Kluyveromyces lactis: one gene and its partner. The protein of the gene in region 1 interacts with the protein of each later gene in a pairwise test. Links are inferred from orthologs where the notes say so. Each region holds a gene or a part of one and is shown on either strand. Other genes may lie near its edges.

The links.
Region 2: the proteins of LAS17 (region 1) and END3 interact in binary tests that used the Saccharomyces cerevisiae proteins (3 or more experiments, as listed by UniProt). The link is inferred for Kluyveromyces lactis from reciprocal best matches to the Saccharomyces cerevisiae genes LAS17 and END3.

What each region holds. Positions count from the first base shown.
Region 1 is NC_006039.1:433,638-437,273, reverse strand, and holds LAS17 (actin-binding protein LAS17), read right to left. Parts: upstream 2,555-3,636; coding exon 593-2,554; downstream 1-592. Other genes in the region: KLLA0_C04796g (uncharacterized protein), read left to right, coding at 1-467; KLLA0_C04752g (uncharacterized protein), read right to left, coding at 3,342-3,636.
Region 2 is NC_006039.1:982,580-985,887, reverse strand, and holds END3 (End3p), read right to left. Parts: upstream 1,772-3,308; coding exon 629-1,771; downstream 1-628. Other genes in the region: chaperonin-containing T-complex subunit CCT2, read left to right, coding at 1-478; AXL2 (Axl2p), read left to right, coding at 2,882-3,308. UniProt on the Saccharomyces cerevisiae protein: Component of the PAN1 actin cytoskeleton-regulatory complex required for the internalization of endosomes during actin-coupled endocytosis. The complex links the site of endocytosis to the cell membrane-associated actin cytoskeleton.

The DNA of each region.
Region 1 (3,636 bases):
AAGAGTGGTTGGAGGATCCAGTAATAAATTCAGACCCATTCGGAATGAATGACAAGTTCAGTGATGAGGAAGGTACGGATTTAGATGAAGAAGAGGAAGAGGAAGCTTCAGAATCCATGATTGAATTTGTCAAATCACTATCGCAAAAATCTCGTCTCCTTAAGCTCTTGTTGAGTTCATTATCCAAATCGATAACCATAAAAAAGGATACTGTAACTACAGCAGCATATCTATCTGAGCTAAATCAACTCCACAATTCAATAGTTTCTAACTCTGATACTTTAATTTCATCCACCTTAGTGAACGCTGAATATGAAGTAGATCCAGAAGTGGAAACATCAGTACTTGCTATCAATAATGATGTTAAGAAAGTTATAAAAATTATTACACAGCTAAACGGTTCAGATGAGTCCAAGTTGAAATGGATACAGGTATGGTCAAATAAGTGGAGTTCTTTGAATAATTAGTTTAGTTTTATCTGTCTTCTGTTTTAAAGGCATCTGAAAGTAATATATAGGTACACCGTACATACAAATACCAAATCATAATTCCACAGTCTAGTCAGATGCAGTTCAAGTAGGGTGAATTACTTTCACCAATCATCACCGTTGTCTATATCATCGTCACGAGCAACTTTATTCTTTCTTTGGTTTAAAGCCGCAGCTAGGGCATCAGCCAAGGACGCAGGAGCACCAACAGGTCCGCCAGTTGACCCGCCTGTGGGTTGAGATACCGGCGCATCACTACGAACTTCTTGTAACAAAGGACTTGGCTTTTCAAGTTGAGATTTATCCACCTTACGGAGGGAATTCAGACCAGCTCCACGAATCGATGCTAATAAGGCATCCCTTCCAGCATCACCAGTATTTTCAACAAAACCAGATCCTGCTTCAGGTTGATTAAATGCAGGGGCTGGAGGAGGAGGAGGAGGTGGTGGTGGTGCGGGCGCTGAGTTCGTTATCTGTGGAGCAAAAGGTGCCGGAGGGGCAGGAGGTGCTGGGGGAGGTGCAGTGCCATTAGGTACCGCTATATGATGCTGGGGTTGGGCTAACATAGGCTCGGTCGATGGGTGATACTGAGTGCTTACACCTGAGTGGGGTGGTAAGACAGGGGGAGGCGGAATGTATGCGGTTTGCTGTGGTGGTTGATATTGCTGAACAGGAGGCGCTGCATTGTAGGTATTATGCTGTTGAAGAGGAGGAGATTGCATTTGTGGTGGAAGCTGGGGCTGGGGAGGGCCGATGGCTGAGTTATGAGTTGTACCTCTGCTTGCAGGTGGAGAAGGAGCCTGGCCACCACGTCTAGGTGGTGGTGGTGGTGGAGGCCCTCTTCCAGTACGACTATGCTGACCGCCAGTTGGAGCATTAGGTAGAGGACCTCTTGAAGGAATGGACGGCGGAGCAGCTGAGCGTCTTGGAGGGGGAGGTGGTACCGGACCACGCCTCGAAACTGGAGGAGCAATACCAGGTCTCGTTGAAGTTGGTCTCGGAGGTGGTTGCAGACCAGCAACAGAATATTGTCCAAACTGAGGAGTGTTGTTATTAGTGACGTTTTGTTGTTGAGCTGGATGGGAAGGTGGAGGAGGGATTGCAACGCTTTGCTGCATAGGCGGAATCGAAGGAGGTGCTGCAGGTGAAGGAGAATTATGCTGCTGCTGGAATTGCGGATGAGGTGACTGAGCCAGTGGACGATATTGTTCTGCTGGTAAAGGAGGAGGAACTGCATGTACCGGGTGGTTTATTGGTGGAGGAGGATTACTTGGTGCTGGTGTTGATGCATAGGATGAATCCGGGGTAGGAGAATGAGTAGAGGAAACCGATGGAGGTGCAGGAGAGCTTGGGAATGATGGAATAGAGTCGTACTTATAAGATGGGATGCTCACAGGAGGAGGAGGTTGTTTCTCGACAGGCGGTGGCGGTGGTTTCGAGGCAAAAGAAGGAGGAGCGGCACTTGCATCTGAAGCTGAGTTTTCAGTTGAAGCATAATTCTGGCTGGGCTGCTCGTAATGGTGTTCCTGGCGGTGCTCGTGCTTTTCCGGTTCATATCTATATCTGACCCTTTGGTCACTGATCAAGGATTCGCCTCTTGGACCATGGATCACTTTACTCTCTTCCTCTTTCTTAATTTGGTCCTCTAATGCAATTGCATTCTTGTTGGCCAAGGTCTTCTTGGACGCGTATTTCTCCCGTTTCTGTACTCGTTTCAAAAAATGTGAAGCATCGCCAATATCGGTGAATAACAACCCGGCGTTACATTGTTCTAATTCAAAGGTATGAAAGAAAGTACGATCCTGGTTATATTGAAAGTTCACGTACAATTCTTGATCCCAGAGAACACCTCGATGCCCATGCACGTCGATCAACTTCAAAAAGAAAGTATTACCAACGATATCGTCCACCAATGCAATGGCACCAGATAAGCCAGTATAAACCCATTTCTCTGGATTAGGGTATGCAATGTATAACCTAGCGATAGTAACATCTATAATCTTGTTAGAAGCCTTGGGCAAAGCATGTTTAACCTTTTCTTTCTCAGCAGAATTCAAGCCTCCCATAGTATACTCGGAAACAACTGCTTTATGATTATTAATTTCTCAAAAGAAGTGTAAACTCGTTCAACTTGAAATCAATTCTTGACGGAGGCAGCTACCGATGGGTTCTAATGAAAATAACACAAACGCGCGATGCACTTTAGGGAGTGGGGGGGTTTGGCTGACTATAATTTACGGTTCTTAAGTTTTCGGTCTGTTTAACATTTCGCAACTTTTCAATTTTTCAATATTGAAAGTTGAAGCGATTCTTAATACGGCATTATTCCCCTATAATTCACAGAGTGATTCAGTGAAAGAAGAAGGGACCAACAGAACTGCGAGAGAGATAAAAAAAAAAGGACCTTTACACAATGGGGTTTGTTCAAGTTGCCATATTGAATTCAAAAGTACTAACAGACCATTTGTAAATGGGAATACAGTGTGCCCATTTAGGTCACTGCAAGGTACAGGAAAGACAAGAAGCATTTCAGTACGAACACGCATTCGAACATAATACGGAGAAAAATTAAGAGTTCTGTTTACTGATACATCTGGCCGACGCATGTGGACGTGGTTACAGCGGCACAATGGCAGAAGAATTTCTGTCCTGACCCAGGAACCGTCTGGCACTGCAGCATCTGACAAAAGTCAGAATCACTTTGTACGTGTTGATCGCTTTATGCTGGGTTTTTTTGGCAACCAGCATGCGGTATTCAAAAGGTAAACAACAGCTACATGCTCGAAGAGATCAGAGGGAGAAACATCGAAAGATGGTTTTTTTTTGCAGGTGGACGGTGTTTGGATTGCGTGCTTATGATGTGAAATAGTTTACAACAGGCGGCGTGATTGGGTTTACATTTTGTGTCTTGTTTACAGTTACGTTAAACGTAAATGCTTTCTTCTCTTTAGTCCAGCGTAAAACTCTTCCAAAAAGAATTCTTTTTCCTAGGCACTTTTTTGACACGAAATTATGTTTTAGCATATTACAGGAACAGCTTTTGGATGTTGCGAAACAAAACGAAACGAAACAGAGTAAACATAAACAGTGAGCAGGAGCAAGTGTTTGAGAATGCTTTCTGTGGTGTGTTTGTTTACATGCTTTGGAA
Region 2 (3,308 bases), about 550 kb from region 1:
TGCAACCGAACAAGTATTAGACGAAGCTGAAAGATCTCTACATGATGCTTTATCTGTCCTTTCACAAACAACAAAAGAAACCAGAACTGTTTTGGGTGGTGGTTGTGCCGAAATGATTATGTCAAAAGCTGTTGACACAGTAGGGCAAAATGTTGAAGGTAAGAAAGCACTTGCTGTAGAATCTTTTGCAAAAGCCCTAAGACAATTGCCTACTATTCTTGCGGACAACGCTGGTTTCGATAGTAGTGAATTGATCACAAAGTTAAGATCTTCGATTTACAACGGCATGAGTACATCAGGTTTGGATTTGGATAACGGCACCATTGCTGACATGAGAGAACTAGGGATCGTGGAAAGTTATAAATTGAAAAGAGCTGTAGTAACCTCAGCCAGCGAAGCAGCCGAAGTCCTCTTGAGAGTGGATAATATTATCAGGGCTAAACCAAGAACAGCCGATAGACAGCACGGTCATATGTAAATTAATTAAATTAGTACTAAGCAATCACCACAAACGTTTAAATTTCGTTCTAATATCCAAAAAGTTAAGCTAAGAAGTGAATTATCATTATACATGAAACAACGTAGTTCAAAATTTACTCCAGAAAGTATATAGGGTAGGTCAATAACCTCAGTAAAGAGATTGCACCTCTATCTTCAAATTATGCAGTTCCGACTTCTTTGTTTTCAGGTACTCCTCCAACATTTGTACTTGCTGCTCAATACTCTCTATATCATCCCTCAAACCTCCAACATCAACGCTTTCTGAAGAAGTATTGGAATTATTGACAAGGTTTTTTTGGTATTCCAAGAACTGTTCTAACTGTTGTTTTACTAATTTCATTCTATCATTTGAGTCATTATGAGAGGTGGATTGTTGCTGTGCTGACGATAATTCAGAGTCAATATTTGCCAATTCCCTTTGAAGTCTGACTACTTCCCAATCAGTTCCCTGAGTAACAGAAAAATCAGTACCACCACGTTTTGGTATTTGGTAAGATGAAGAGTTAGATGTGGATAGTGTTGGCCTTCTTACTTCGCTCTGCTTGGAAGACAAATCCGTGGAAACTCTAGTCTTTGTAAAAGTTTCTTTCAATGCTGAAGGTAAATGTGATGGTATTGGGCAAGCATAGTCGTTCACTTGTCTCAGAATATGAATAAAGTATAGTGCTGGATCCTTATCTATGGAAGTGTCAAGCTTAGGATTAACCAAACGCCACGTTTTTTCTAAATCTTGAGATGATAGATTGATATACTTCGATCTAACGGCGGAGGATAGTGAAACATAAGATACACTATTGTCTCTAGAGGTTATGGCTGATTCATAAATTGATTCGTATTGTGACTTATCATCTCTTGATATATACCAATCAACTTCTTTTTGATAATCGTCTACAGCTGGCGAAGATGTCGGAACATTGACCACAGAACTTGTTTCTGCTGTTCCGCTACTACGTTCAGTTTTTCTTTGTTTGACTAATTCGGCTTTTGAACCGGGAATCAACCAATCTGGCAATTCATCTGGTACAGAATCTATGTTTTTATTAACCATGTCAAATATCATTCTCATACAAATCACAAACTCTTCAAAATCTAGTTGATCATCATCATCGATATCGGCCAAAAACCATATTTTGTTAAGTATCGAGGTGTCCAATTTAGAATTGAAAAGGATAGGCAGTACTTGATCATGGGTCAACTTATTTTCCACCGGTTTCAATCCGGAGAAAATTTGCCAATACTTTTTGATCTCAAATTGTTCAAGCTTTGGCATCTTAAATTGGTATTTGAATTATCTGTGGAGTCAAGCGCGATTAAAATAGAGGTCAGATATCAAATTAACACTGAGCTCAAACGTAATGTTTTCTTTGAAGTATGCCTGCGTTACTCACAATCAGTCAAAGAGACAGGAACAAATAAAACAAGAATATGTTATACCTGCTATCGCTCTAGCGTGTTCTTCGGTTTGAATCGTTTGGAACCTTATCTACTTCAATAAATTGCAATTTAAACCTTTTGGATAGTTCATCGTATTGATCTTAACAGTAATATCACCCATTTCAGTGCTGAAAGAAAATCAAAATTCCATTGACCTACATTACAAAAAGGGGAAGTCACGTTATACGTAACACACGTGACCTTGAATAATAGTCAAACAACCCCTCACGTGACAAGAATTTGTATCTGTTTTTTTTATATCTTTTTGGTGGATGCTACTGGTTTACCCGGTGTTCGCGTTATATCCTATTTTGGTAACACATTTAGAGAAATCGCGAAATGTTTTAAGGATGCCAAAAGAAGAATTATAAGTGAATCTTCAGAACTTTGAGGTAGGTGAGAATTTGGGGGACCAGAAGTAGAATGTGAGATGAAAAAAGCTAAGACAGGGTTGTAGAGGATTTCGATTGTTTCCAACTGGCCCGTTAGTTTACTGAGAAGTAATACCAAAATATAATAATGGTTTTTCCTGTCTTGCAACTGTGATATTTTTGGTGTCTTTCAATTAATATTCATATATTTCACGAGATGAGGGCTCCCGCCTTAAATAAAACAAGATGTATTCTCAGGGCCCATTCGTTTCTTCCTCATCTTAACGGTTCTGCAATCCAGTAACGCTTTTACGTTATACTATCCATTAACTTTTGAGATAGAAGGAGCAGCACTAACTGTCCGATCGCTACGTTGTTCATTGATCCATTCATTCACTCCTTGACAGCCTTCATCTGAAAGCAATAGCAGAGAGAGAATTAAGAGCTCAAGAAACGCATACAAGGAAAATTGGAACTAAGTTTACTCATAGTTGTTCAACTGGACTTTAGTTTTTAATTTGGAATAAGAGAAATTACACGAACGGAAATTAGTTCATTATACAGGGTTTAGGGTTATGAAGACTGAGTTGCTGTTGTCTTCGGCGCTGTCACTTCTCTTTGCCGTCGCATCAGCTTCTGTATACGAAGCTTATCCTATTAACAAACAGCTTCCACCAATTGCAAGAGTTGACGAGGATTTCCAGTTTAAAATCTCTAATGACACCTTTAAATCAACTAACGAAGGATCCGTTCAAATATCATATGAATCTTCTGAATTGCCAAATTGGCTTTCATTCGATAGTAGTTCTTTGACTTTTTCAGGTAAGGTCTCTTCCGACTTCCTTGATGATAACGAAGATACGAAATATTTCGACATCATACTTAAAGGTACGGATTCAACCGATTCCGCATCCTTCAACACGACTTTTCAACTGGTGGCTACCAAGAAATCAGGAATTTCTTTAGCCGACGACTTTAATCTATTAAACCTTTTAAAGAATT